Pelodiscus sinensis: one gene and its partner. The protein of the gene in region 2 interacts with the protein of the main gene of each other region in a pairwise test. Links are inferred from orthologs where the notes say so. Each region holds a gene or a part of one and is shown on either strand. Other genes may lie near its edges.

Region 1 (7,245 bases), on a different chromosome or scaffold from region 2:
CAGGGAGGCGGGGGAAGCGCCGCGCAGCCGCCAGCGACGGGCCGGCTGGGGAAATTGTGTTATTCTGGGGATGGATGGTCGTGTAATTCAAAAAACATTCCCTAAAAAAAATCATGCTATCGCAAAAATGTGTTAAGTGGGCACGTGTTAAGTGAGGAATTACTGTAAATGATTCCTTAACCATTCAAGAGCTCTCTCCTTTTCTTATCATTATATTAGACCTGCTTGCCTCGATTGGAGCCAAGGGCTAAGTGTCTTATAGGGATTGTGTTTAGTTTCTTGTTAACCAGTGTGATACCATAGAAGTTCTTTTGCTATTGGTTCACTGACTCCAATATAAAATAAACCATGGTTTTGGGGATTGTCTACAGTGTTTCTTGCAGCATGCGCTGAGTATGGCACTCAGTGTGGCCCATCTCAGGCATCTGCTCAGATGGAGCTACTGTAATGAAACAAAAAATAAATGCAACATAGGGACGGAGAGTTAACTATAGCCTGAAAGCAGAATAGCAAGTTTTTTAATCCTTAGAAACACTTTCACCATTCACAGTATTCTGCATTAAAACTCACATAAGTAGATTTAATGTTCAATAGCATGAAGGTTAGATAAAGGAGGATTTAAATTTCCATTATCCATCTTAATGGATTTATGGCTCTAGCCCCAAGATGCACCAACATGCTTACATAACCCAAAACAGAGGGAGGACAGCATAACATGTTTTTGCATTTATTGGCTACAGAGTATTAATATAGAATCTTTTTCAGCTGGTCACTAGTGTAAACAGCAAAATTACACCATTCCCTACTAAGCCTATAACTGTGAGCAAGTTTGACAATAAGAGGAGGACTCAGTGAGTGATGGGAACCAAACCTGCCTGACAGGCACCACCTAGAGGTGAACAGGACAACAAATATTTAATTAAATACAAAAGAACACACAATGCAAATTTGATTAGATACTTCAACAGAAGTTCTTGGAGAGTCCAATCTGTAGATATTAATATTACTAATTTCACCAACTAAATGAGCACTACTCAGCATGGGCCAGTTTCACATTATTTTAGCTCATGTTATGCTCTGTGTCAATTATATTTTAAAACTTTCTTGTTCAAGTTATGCATTATTTCACCAGTTTAATTTTCAGTACTGTAGCAATTTATTTTCTTTCTAGAGAAAAAAAACAGTCATTGTTAATTCTTCATTTTCTTATTTTCTAATGATATTCAAGTGCTATTCCAAGTCCAATCTATAGCAACAAGGAACCTTTCTGTTTTGGCTCCTTTTTTGAGACTGAAGAGTAATTATATTTAAATAAATTTGATTTTAGAATTATTCTAAAATTACTTGTTTTTCAAATTTCCCCAGAAATGATCATATAATGAAGCTTTTTTATGTTTTCCTTTCAATGTGTATACATCTTCATAAATACTGTGCCTTAGTTTGCTTTGTAATACCAAAAAGTAGCTGAAAATTTATACACACCCCTTTAATATCCATAACAGCTTCCCTCCTCACTTACTGATGTAGCAGAAAACCATGATGATTGCAACTTTTTGAGCGCAGGAGGTGTGCATTGTTTTGGTTTATTTTAGGACTCTAATACTCAATCTACAGAAGAGAGTCATAATCTTTGCATAGAAAAATAAGATTTGAACAAAATCATGCCCTGCAAAGCCAGATAGCTTTCTCCCCTCCAGAAAAGCCATTTTCCCCCATTCATTAGTTCCACCCCAAAAAAGGAAACAAGCTTTTAGTTTCTAACCAGTTTCTTTCAACCTAGAACTTAAGAAGCAGTTTTGTTTCCTTCTTTTATCAACAATTAATTGCTAACAGTCGCGGTGCTAAACTTCAAGATTCCCGCCTGACAGCAGACATTCTTAGTTTCAGAAACTCATTTGGGAGGTGGGGGAGATTCTCACTCCCCTTTAGCTATTCACAGCTCACCAAATTCAGAGACTTAAACGTACACATTACTCTTCTCAGCTGCAATGTGAACGCAGGGTAGAGCCACGCAACGTTCTGCCTTGGCTTAAACACATTCGCTCGGACTTCAACCCACTTCGGCAAGTACTGAGTGCACTCCCGCAGATTTAAAGAGCCGGATCCTTTCTAGCGGCTTCACCCTCGCTCGTACCAGGCAGGTCCGATTCCGAGCATCTTTTCTGGCCAATAAAAGCCGCAAACCGGCCCCACGTTCGGCGAATGCAGCGCACTGGGAACCGACAGCGGCTACAAGCTGCCGGAAGGGCAACGCCGGGCTTCCCACGCCAGCAGCCCCCCCCCCCCCCCCCGCCCGGCGTTGCCCCGGGCCGGAGCCAAGCCCCCCCCCCCCCGCCCGGCGCTGCCCGGGCCGGAGCCAAGCCCCCCCCCCCCCCCCGCCCGGCGCTGCCCGGGCCGGAGCCAAGCCCCCCCCCCCCCCCGCCCGGCGCTGCCCCGGCCCGGAGCCGGGCCCCCCCGCCCGGCGCTAAGCCCCCCCCCCCCCGCCCGGCGCTGCCCCGGCCCGGAGCCGAGCCCCCCCCCCCCCCGCCCGGCGCTGCCCCGGCCCGGAGCCGAGCCCCCCCCCGGCCCCGCCCGGCCCGGCCCCTCCAGCCCTGCAGGCGGCGGCCGGGACGAGTCCGGCTCACACGCTCACTGGCGCTTGGGGGCCCGGCCCGGCCCACTCCCCGGGACCTGGGGGCGGGGCAGGCTCCCCTGGGCACGGGAGGGGCGGGACGGGCCCAGCTCGCTCCCGCGACAGGGCCCCCCGGAGAAGCCGCTCTCCGCCGCGCGGGCCCGGGCAGGCAGCACTTGCCGTAACAACTTACCCGCCAGAGCCGGGTCCCGCCGGAGCCTGTAGCATCCTCCCCGCTTCGGCCCCCTCCCCTCGCTGCTATAGCTACGGGGCGCCAAGGCAACCAGCTCTCGCGAGAACGCGCCCAAATCCTTCCTCGTTTCCGCGAGACCCCGCAAAGGGGCGGGAGAGAGCGCGCCCCGACCACCCAGCTCTCGCGAGGAAGCGGGCGAGACCAGAGGCGGACCTAGAGGAAAAGCAACTGCGTAGAAACCACAACATGGCGGCGAGCGGCGCGCGCAGTGGGCGTGGCTACCGAGGTGAGGCGCTGAGGGCGGGAATGAGGAGGCGCCTCTGACCCGCCTCCTCTGTGTCGCTCTCGGGATCTGAGAGGCGAGGCGGGGGCCGCATGTTCCCGCCCAGGCGCCTGCCACGCCGCGCCTTTCGCTCAGCGTCCTGTCGTCCGCCAGGTCCCTTGGCGGGGCCGGGGCGCAGCTCCGGAGGGGTCGCCCTGGGGCGTGTCTCCCCCCCCCCCCTTGCAGCCTGCTGGCTGCCTTCCCCCGCAGTGTCTCCTCGGTGGGGGTGGCCTTTAAAAAGGACACTTAACAAGGCTTAGTCTCTTTTCCCAGCAACGCGCTAAAACGCTGCGTCTAGCCTGGCCAGGTTTTCCGGAAAATCAGCCGCTTCTCCAGAAAAACCTGCCACTGTCTGCACTGGCCGCCTGAATTTCCACAGAAGCACTGACTTCCCACTGCAAGAAATCCGCGCTTCTTGCGGAAATCCTGTGCTGCTCCCCTTCGGCAAAAGTCCCTTTTATTTTTCTGTAACAGTCTGAGCATATTGGGTCAAATTTTGCCCTCATTAACATCCACTAAAATCAAGAGGGTTGTACAGTATGTAAATCCAGGCATAGTTTGTATTACTGACTTTAACTACATTTTAAAATGAATGATTAAACAGTGAATAGTTGTATAAGTGTTCTGACAAGCAAACTAATTTCAGACTAGAACTGGAAACTTGCAGATCCAGATTGCTAGAGTCTGAAATTGAAAATGTATTGGCAGAAGAAAGGGGATACTATGCATTAATTTACTCAATTTTAAACAAATGGTTTTTCTAGCCTGGAAATAGTGTTGTAGTAATATTAATAATACTTTGTGTTCAATGTGTCTGAAAATTTCAAGCTCTTTACAAATCATTATCTCTATGCTATAGAGCAGTGTTTCCCAATTTTATTTGGCCATGGGACCCCTATGGTTTCCTTACCAAAAAAAGCCCTGCCACCACATTTTGTTGAGCAAAAAAAAAAAGCCCTGGTGCTGCAATTCCTGCTAAATAAATAAATTAATGGAGATTGCCTATCTCCTAGAACTGGAAGAGACCTTGATCATAGAGTCCAGTCCCTTGCCTTCACAGCAGGGCCAAGTACCATAACTGACAAATATTTGCCCCAAATTCCTAAATGGCTTCCACAAGGATTAAACCCACAACCCTGGATTTAGCAGGCTAATGCTCAAACCATTGAGCTATCCCTCCCCTCTGCAGCTCTGTCTCTTTAAGAGGGGGTGATGGAGTGCTGGCTCTTCACAGAACTCTTGCTTTTGTTTTGTGGAACCCTAAGGTTCCACAGAGCACCAATTGGGAAGCACTGTTATAGAGTAACTGAGGTGTAGAGACAGGAAGTAACTTGTTTATAGTGATAGAAATGTAGCCGTGTTAGTCTGGTGTAGCTGAAACAAAATACAGGACTATGTAGCACTTTAAAGACTAACAAGATGGTTTATTAGGTGATGAGCTTTCGTGGGCCAGACCCACTTCCTCAGATCAAATAGTGGAAGAAAATAGCACAACCATATATACCAAAGGATACAATTCATATGTGCTCATTTTTTTTAATTGTATCCTTTGGTATATATGGTTGTGCTATTTTCTTCCACTATTTGATCTGAGGAAGTGGGTCTGGCCCACGAAAGCTCATCACCTAATAAACCATCTTGTTAGTCTTTAAAGTGCTACATAGTCCTGTATTTTGTTTTAACTTGCTTATGACTGGGATAGTGAACCCAGGGCAGAGCTAGGAACAAGCCCTGGCCCTCACACCCAAACACTAGTTCTGCAATTCTCATATTCTAGGAAAGCAACAAAGTGCCCAGCAGAGTGCACTGTGTTCTGCTTGCAATACTTCTATTCTCCTTTGCGAGCAAGGATGGCTTCTATGCTCAATGGAACTTAAAATGATTTTTGTGTTTAGGTAATGGAAGGGGAGATCATTTTCCTTTAGGTCCCTGTGGATTTATACTTACTGCAGTCAGGGCCATACCTAGGCATACACAGCTGCATAGGGCACCACAAAGTTTGGGGTACCATAGCCCCAAATGTTGTGGTGCCCTTCGCAGTTGTGTGCTGAATATGCCATGGTACCAGCAGTCAGCCCCGTCTCCCAGCCAGCGCCCCCCCCCCATGGACTATACCCAGTCACCACTGACCAGATGGTTCTCCTTCTGGTGGAAATGGAAACGATCCAGCTGTGCTGGTGTCCCCAGCTCTGTCTCTGACCTGCAGCTCAGATAGCACGTGGCATCTGCACCTCCCACCTGCTTCTTCACCAGCCTCCCTGCCCTGCTCCTGTCCCCGGCAATCCTGGGGCTGCCTTCCACAACTCCTGCCCCCACAAGCATGCAGTCCTTGAACACAGCTTCCTCAGGGGGTGGCCCCCCCATGACCAGCCTCCGTTTGTGGGGTTTGTGAGTAGCTGCTCAAGCTGCACAGAGCACCACAATTTGTAAGGAAGGCCCTACTACCAAACTCCAGGATCAAGTTCATTCTCCTGGAGAACTGATTTCAATTCCTGCCCATTTGGGAAGCCTGCTCACTGACTATGGAATGTTGACTGCTTAAAAATAGACCATGTCTGACAAGTAACAGGCTATTTTGTTTCTGATGCTCCTGACATATTTAGCTAGAGAGCATCATGCATTTTAGCTCTCAAACTAGTTTAGTCAGTATAGTATGTTGATCTTAATGGATTGTTCACTTTTTACTCAAAGGACTGAAAATAAACTAGTTTAGCTAATCTGTCCATGTTCTTCTATATAATAGCACCCTACATGCTCTTTTTTTATATATATAAAGGGAGGCAATAAAGAGCAGGTGTCTATTTGTAGGGGGGAAGTTCTACTTAATGGTGACACCTGGTTTCAGCAAGGTTCATGCTTTTTAATCCCATTTTTCAACATAGAGAATCTCTGTATTTCGAAGGCATTTTAACACAATGTAGCCCCAATTAGAGCTATGGCCTCAGGATGCAACCAAAATACAAATAATAAACAGCAACAACTGGAGAAGACAGAAACCTAATTAAATTAAGGGCTGTATTCTCAAATGTACACAACTATCTTGGTGTTATACTGAAGCTGTGCAGAGAAATTGATGCAAAAGAGAATGCAAAGTTGATTCCAACAGCAACATTAACTCACATTGTAGCATCACATATTACAACACATTTTCCAACGTTCAGTCATGTTGGCACAATCTTTATAGTGCGGGTGCTGAAATCAATGAACAAAACTGTAAATCCTCTGTTTATGATGGAAAACAATTCAAGCCATGGGTGTTTTTGTCCCCAGCACTCTTAGATCCAGCACCTCTATCAATATTAATGGATATGTACTAAGCTATATATCGAATAGGAAAACCAGAAGTAGGAAAGGGTACATGTTAAATATAACTGAGTTCACATTGATCTTGGAACTTAAATTTTTGCCTTTTTGTGTTTTTAAGTGGACAACCTTAAATTTGAGGTAATGCAACTTTTTCTGCATTTAATTTCTTGGGGATTTTTAAAGAAAAAATAGAAGAGAAAAAAGTTTGAACAGGAAAAACAGAGGGAAAAAATCCAGAGATATTCAGAACCTGTTCTGACACCCTAAGATTCACCACTGTCGTATAATTAGGATGTGTTTTGTACAAAGTATGTCTTTTGAGGTATAATTCTAAAAGTCTTCATCTGGACGATATCTCCCTTGATTGCACATGTTGTTGTATGTAAAGTTATGAAGTTTGACTGTGTAGATGTTACTGAAACATGCTGTAAGCTTCAAAATGCCTACAAGCAGGCTTTCAGGTACAGCAGTATAAAGGTCAAACAATGTTAATGCTTATTGAGGAAATGCTCTCACACGCAAGGATTATCCCAGGAACTGCTGGCAATAGAAATCTTTCAGAGATACCATTATACAATGTGACCTGTTTGACCCTAGTCACAGCAAAAGAACTTTCTAGCAAATGGGAAGAAGATATACAGTAAAACTCCATTGGTCCGGCATCCAATGCTCTGGCACTCCTGATGGTCCGGCACCATAGGGAACCCGGAAGTGCTCCGGGCAGCGGGACAATTGGAGCTACTCTGCGCCCGGCTTCCCCGATTCAGCCGCTGCTGAAACTGACCAGCAGCTGAATCGGGGAAGCCGGGGGCA
Region 2 (7,038 bases):
TAAGAACAATTAGCACCTCCGTTGTTTCGTTGTTAGGTTAAGTCATAGGATGTGGAAGATAGTGTGCGAGCCAGCTGATGTCCTTATACCATTGGCATAAGAATTAAACTTGTAAATGAAGTTAAGTTCCAATCCTTCCCTGTGTATTTGGCTTGTGGAACTGGCCTGAAATAAAACGGTGACTTGGAGATCCATTAATGAGTGGCCAGGTAGATTAAAGTGTCCTCCAACAGGTTTTTGTGTATTGCCTTTTTGGATATCTGATTTGTGTCCATTAATTCTATTCTTGGATCTGGACTACTAATACTCCTGTCATCTGAAGAAGTGGATTGTGCCCATGAAAGCTCATGATACCATCTACATGTTTTGTTAGTCTTTAAGGTGCTACTAGTGACTAGTCTATTTGTTGTTTTTAAAGTTATTCCTGTTAAAGACCAACTCGGCTACTCCTCTGAAGTACTAACTATAGAAAGTTCCAAAGAGCCAGAGAAGCAAACCCTAAGTCTTCATCCTGGAGTAGTTAACATTCACTTTCTGAAGCAAATGACTCTGCCTCCCTTGAGGTTGAGGTCTGCACTTCTTACTCTATCAAAACTCCCAGCTGAAGTCGATAGGGCATTTTGCCTGAATAAAGATTGAAGGATTAATCCGGCCTTTTGTGCCAGTTGTTTGGAAAGGTCACATTATGTCCCTGTCTCCCAGCTCTTCTGCATTAATTAAGGGTTCTTGTACTTCGTGGTAACTTGGACATGTGCTTTGTGGCAACGTTCCTGGTTGCTGTGGAGGCTGGAAATTCTGCTGCAGCTTTTTTTTTTAATGTAGCTGTGTAATACATCAAATATCAAAATTAACAATGCAATTAGTGCAATAGCTTATTTTAATATTAAATTCAGTTTACTTTAAGCAATCTTCCTATTTTGGGGTTTTTGTATGCTAAAGGTTTTTGTGATGACAGCTTATAACTGCCCTAGAGAATTTCTCAGAATATGATGAAAGAGCAGCAGCTAGGTAAGGAGCTGTTGGAATTACTGCTACCTAGCAGTTTCGATTTGTGGCACTTCCCAAAAGCTGCTTTAAGGTTGTCTGCAGACTTAGGAAGACAACACTGCATCAATTTATGCGTTAGTCATGAGGTCTAGAAATATACTGAGAGATTTAAGAGCTGGAGTCACAATTCTGCAGCAGAGTTTCTCAAGACTGATCTTACCATGAGGCAAACTGAGGCGGCAGCCTCAGGTGTCAAACTGTAGGGAGGCGGGGGGCAACACTAGGAGTATGTCTAGACTACATCCCTCTGTCGACAGAGGGATGTAAATTAGACATGCCAACATTGCAAATGAAGCGGGGATTTAAGTTTCCCGTGCTTCATTTGAATAAAAATGGCCACTGCATTTTGCCGAGTCAACAGTTTGTCGGCAAAAAGCGGCTGTCAAGATGGGGATCGGGTGATAAAGAAAGCCTTTGTCGGCCAATGCTGTAAACCTAATTTTAGGAGGCATAAGGGATTGGCCGACAAAGGCTTTCTTTGTTGCCCGATCCCCGTTTTGACAGATGCTTTTTGCTGACAAATTGCTGAGTTGGCAAAACGCGGTGGCCATTTTTATTCAAATGAAGCATGGGAGATTTAAATCCCCGCTTCATTTGCAATGTTGGCATGTCTAATTTACATCCCTCTGGCGACAGAAGGGTGTAGTCTAGACATACCCTAGGACTCAGAGTGTAGAAAATTGTGTCTGCTGCTGGTGCATATGTATTCTCTGTGCAGTATCATGAGAGGAGTAAAACAGGAAGAAGGCAGAATTGAGAACTTTCAAAGTTTTGGCCCAAGCAAGAGGGCATGGGGCCATCATTTGAGCTCCCCGCCTCAGTTGCCAAAATGTTGTGGGCCGGTCCTGGCGTTTCTGCAGCAAACTGTGCAGCTAAAGAATAGAGGTGTACACCGGACTCACATTCATCTGCTGCAAAGGAGGAGGTTGCTCTGAGTTTGCTTCAGCTTGAATGTGGCTACTTTTTATCTGCGTGTGCCACACCTATTGGCAAGGTGAACATATTAGAATGAGAGATTCCTTTCTGCTGAAGTAACACCCTGAACTAGAGAAATGAAAAAGGTAGCGGGAGCGGGAGAATACAGCACATTCAAAACTGTGTCCAGCTGAAGGGGCTGAAATATCATTAGAGGCAGTGCTTTAAAGTGTGTTTATGGGATGAAGGATTGCAAGGGATTGCAGACCCAGTCAATAAAAAAAATTGTTTTAATCAAGCCAGATCACTGTGGGGGGCATTTTAACCACTGCCCCCCCAAAGCTGCTTCTCCCAGATTATAATATACCTTTCCCCCCCACACTACACTTTTCCAGATCACTTTAAGAATTGACTAATGCTTTCACTTGATTTTCAGTAATCCACAGTCTCTCTCCCTCCCTGCCTTTGATTCAATCAATGAATCTTGCATTAACAGGGTGAGGATGATGTTGCTGTCTGCTCTGCTGCTGCTGTTGCAGATTCACTGCTTTGAGGTGCTGAGTTGCATGTCTGTCCAAATGTCTTGGCCTGTTGCTGTTTCTTTTCCCCAAAGATCTCATTAAACAGAAAATGTCATCAGGTTACATATGGACTCTTAACTAAAGTTTCAGTCATTGTAATAATAAAGGATCCTTATGCCTTGTAAATCTATTTTATATGGTATACACTATTCTATTGCCTATTGATCAAAACCATTGCCTCTTTGAATATTTTTATTATAATCTTTTCAGCTATTATGTTACAAATATACCGCATATTTCTTTGTATAAGGAATTACCTTGCAGACCCATCAACAGAAACTGACAGTTTAGAGTCATGCATTTTTTTACATGTAGCCACTGGTGCGTGTCTACACTAGAGAAGTGCCATATTATAACTTGTCCAGATGTAAGTGAACTGGTGCAAGTTGCAGAGTGTCACCAGTAGTCATCCCATTCTGGGTACAAACACTACTCTGGGACCATGCACAGCACTCCTTACAAGCATTGCATGGCCTGTGGATTATTGCACCTATCCCACAAGGCCCAGCACAGCACCCTGCAGCATATGCATAATGTTCATAGTATACAGGAGAAATTTATACCTGATCACATTTTTGGTTTGTCCCATTGCCCACTTTGAATGGTTTTGTTTTTCATCAGAAACTGCTTGTGCATTGTGAGGGTATGTTGCAACCCTGGCATTGAAACACACTGGTAAGTATGCCTCTGACAAGTAATCTTATGTCCAGATGAATGTTAGTCTTTAAGGTGCCAGAGAATTCCTTGTTGTTTTTTCAGATACAGACCAACACTAGTTAATCTACCTGTCTGATATTGATAACTTTGTTCCTAGTCTCCCTTTGTGCTGATCCAGAGGTGAAGTGTCCAAGGTTGTTCTTCCATCCTAAGCAACATGTCAGTGTGTCACCTTACACATCAGTCACATTTGGCCCAGCTACCCCTCCATCATGATGAAGGAGCAGCTGGGCCAAATCTGAGCAAGTGGCATAGTGACCTGGCACACAGGGTCATGGTGCCTCTCAGGCTTGGCCCAATTACCCCAGCATCATGACTGGAGGGGACAGACAGGCCAAAATCTGTCACTCTAGGCAACTGCCTAGCTTGTTTGTATTTAGAAAGGCATGTGTCTTTATATCCTCAAACACAGAGCTTTATCTCAAGCTGTATCAGCTTATGCCTTTAGTTCTGAAGGTTCCCTGGTTCAATCTCTAGTGTGTCAGCTAAGAGAGACGCTCTCATGCTATGTCCTCATGTGTGCTGATGCTCAGGCACAGAGACATTGTTTCTTTCAGGACCCACTGCCTTCATACCTCCTCCCACCTTGCGTCCTAATGTTCTAGGAGGTAAGGAACTTGATTTTGTCACTTCTTCAAGAATATTTTTAGTTTTGAATTTTGCTATTCTGTTCCTCTTTGTCAACTGAAGTCACAAGTTTCTTTCTCTTCTGTTTTCTTCTGGAAATCATAGACAGGAGTGATCCAGCCCAGGGAGTTAACAGAGAAGACATGCTTTTGGGTTCTTCCTTGCTTCTGAGCATATTATTCTCCCACCCACCGCTTGCGATTTATAGTAATGGGTCTGCTGAGGCCTGTGTCATTTCTTGAGGGGAACAGAACAGTGGAACAAGTGGAGGCCGGAGCCTCATGGAGAGGTAAGTGGTAAATTGCTTTACTTGGGGGAATAGTTGGAAGAGGTTCAGCCTCAGGATAAGTGTAATCTGCATAGTGTGTATTAGGGAGTCCAGAACGTGGTCAACACCTAAAAGTATCTGGCTATACAAAGTCCACATCTGCCTGTGTTCTTGCCGTGTAATAAGGGATCTGAGTAAAAGTCATTTGGGGTTTGATTTAGGTGGTAGGCATCTTTTTCCAAGCAACTCCAATAGGAACTGAGGATTTGTCCCTGGAGGAATAATACTAATTAGGAAAATGACCCCCTCAACTCCTCACTGAGTGGCTGATCTTCAGCAGTCCCTTAAATTAGCACTCTCTGCCACTTCCAAAGGACAGCATGCAGGCATCTCCAGCAGGCTCTCCTTTGATCACTTTCATTATTGTTGACAGAGTGCTATGAGATCCCCATGGACATGAGGCGTTAGAGTAGCACAGGGGTTTTCAAACTTCATTGCACTAGTACACATTCCAGGAACCAAAGCCTGAGCTTGCTTGAGCCCTGCTGGTCTGAGTAGGGGGACCAATGCTACAGTCTGAGCCCAGGGCTGTCCCGGACGAGGAGGGGGGGGGCATGAGCCTGGGGCAATCCCTCCCCCACTGCCCCAAGTGTGGAGCCCAGGGCAACCCCTATGCTGCAGGCTCCACCCTGTCCATTCCACGAGCCCAACCCCTGCTCTACACACTTGTCCCCTCCCGTGAGTGGCAGCAGGAGTCACTCCCCACTCATTCTGGAAGTGGGAGCTAGAGTGGCCCTGCAGCCTGTTCCGCCCCCAGCCTGCTGTGCTTTGCTTCTCTGCGGCAGTGGGCAGCAGAGTGCCCTAGGGCCAGGGCAGTCTGCTTCGTACTGCTGCTGAAAAGCAGAGCACAGTTGGCTGGGACAGTGCAGCCTTGTGGAGCAGAGCAGGCTGCTGGGCTGCTCTGAATCCTGCTGCTGCGATGAGTGCGGGAGAAGGGGGTGACCCATGCTGCCCACCCTGCACAAGGCTCCCCGGTCCCTCCTGTCCATAGGATGGTTGAGGTGGCCGCCATGGGGCTCCTCAAAGCAAAGGGCCTGCCACCACCAATCGTCCATATGGGTCTGCCTGAGTCCCACCATCTCAGGCTGGTGTGTGCATGTGTGCGGGGGGCTGGGGGAGGGAAGACACAGCCCAAAGGGCTTCAGCCTTGGGCAGTGTGGCTTGTGCTTCAGCACTGGCCTCAGGAAGTATAATCTGAGCCCAGGTGACCCATTAAACCAGGGTCACGGTCCACTTAGGGGTCCTGAGCCACAGGCTGCTGAGTATTTTTTGTAATTGTGCTTTTGAAGGCAAACGTTGCCTTTAGAGTGTGTGTGTGTGTGTGGGGGGGGCAGCCTCACCCCCCTGCAATTCCCTCCACACACATCCCCGTCTCCTCTAAACTGGGAAGAAGCCCTGTAAAGGGTTAAGCCTGGTTTGGCCCGGCTCTGTGGTGCGTATGCAATAATCTGTGTGGCTCTCTTGGCCGCCTGCCAAAGTGTTGCCGTGCCTCCTCCTCCTCTTCTCCTCCCTTCCCCCGTCCCTTTTGCATGAAGTAGGATCCTTGAGCTGTTGCAGAGGCAGCCAACTGCTCCATATTTGGCTTCTATTACACATTTACATACTGGAGAGAAGAGGGAGAGAGCGCTGCACCGCAGACATCATTTCTACTACAGGCAGTGGTGGAGACATCCAGGACCTGTGTCACTGCAGGGGGAAGGAGGAGGGAAAAAGCAACCAAACAAACCAACATCCCCCCCCTCGCCTTGTGATCAGCTAGCAAGACTGTGTGTGTGTGTGTGTATGTGGAGTCCCGCTCTGCCCCCATCTCCCCTGACACTTGGCAGTAAGTGGCTTTTTATTCCTTCTCTGCTTTTTTTTTTTTTTTTGCTTCTCTCGTTTCGATTGGAACCCCCCCCCCCCCCGGTGCTTTCCAGCTGGAGAGAAACAGGGGGGGGGAGTGGACTGCACTCGCCACCCCACAGAGGGTGCTTCAGCCTCCCTTACTGCAGCCCGGCCCGACCCCCCAGCTCTGGGAAGCCTGGAGGCCAGAAAATGGCTTGGCGATCCTGGGGGGAGGGGAGGCACATTGGGGGGGGTGGTGGCTGGAATGCATCGCACTCCGTGCATGCAAGCAATGTCCGGGGGGAGGGGGGGAAGGAGGCAGGGGGAAGGAGGGGGTACAGGCACGGAGACAGCCGTAGCCCCTGGGTCTGGGTTGCTTTCAGTCAACCTCCTTCCCCCCACCTCCCCCCCGCGCAACGGGGAGGAGAGCGGACGTGTGTTTGCGCGTTGGGGAGAGGTGGCGTTTTCAGGCTCGCTCGGCTGCTGCCGGGCTCTGGCCGCGGCTGCCCCGGGTGCATTAGCCGGCGCGCAGGCGAGCGAGAGCAGCTGGAGTTTTGCGCGGCGCCGGGTGTGTGCGGGCTCCGAGCGCCGCCGGCCGGCCCGTGCTGCGCCGTGTAGTACGGGCTGGGTCAGGCTGGCTGCCGGAGGGGTGAATGAAGCGGGGAGGCGGGGGAGGAGGCGGCGCTGGGACGGGGAACGCGCTCAGCAGCGGACCCACTACGCTGCACTCACGGCCCAGGCCGGCTGGAGACACCAGCAGCTGGCACTTCCAGCAGTGAGTGAGGAGGGCTAGTGCCGGGGGGGCGGGAAGGTCAGGGGAGGCCTGGGTGTCCCGTTTTCCCCCTTCACACCGTCTGCAGAGCCTCTCCTGGTCTCATCCTCTTCCAGTCCCTGTAAGAGAGATCTGGGGCTGGCTAAAAGCAAAGAGACCATTTAGCTCCTCCAGGAGGGGATTAGCAACAGCCTCTGGTGCTAAAGAATTGATGTGCTTATGGCTAT

The links. The genes of interacting proteins can lie anywhere in the genome.
Region 1: the proteins of ATXN1 (region 2) and USP54 interact in binary tests that used the Homo sapiens proteins (3 or more experiments, as listed by UniProt). The link is inferred for Pelodiscus sinensis from reciprocal best matches to the Homo sapiens genes ATXN1 and USP54.

The regions. Positions count from the first base shown.
Region 1 is NC_134718.1:3,916,564-3,923,808, reverse strand, and holds the start of USP54 (ubiquitin carboxyl-terminal hydrolase 54), read right to left. Parts: upstream 3,001-7,245; 5' UTR 2,805-3,000; intron 1,988-2,804; exon of another isoform or gene 1,968-1,987; intron 1-1,967.
Region 2 is NC_134712.1:107,835,961-107,842,998, reverse strand, and holds the start of ATXN1 (ataxin-1), read left to right. Parts: upstream 1-4,019; 5' UTR 4,020-4,176; intron 4,177-5,718; exon of another isoform or gene 5,719-6,040; intron 6,041-6,360; exon of another isoform or gene 6,361-6,607; intron 6,608-6,665; exon of another isoform or gene 6,666-6,814; intron 6,815-7,038. UniProt on the Homo sapiens protein: Chromatin-binding factor that repress Notch signaling in the absence of Notch intracellular domain by acting as a CBF1 corepressor. Binds to the HEY promoter and might assist, along with NCOR2, RBPJ-mediated repression. Binds RNA in vitro.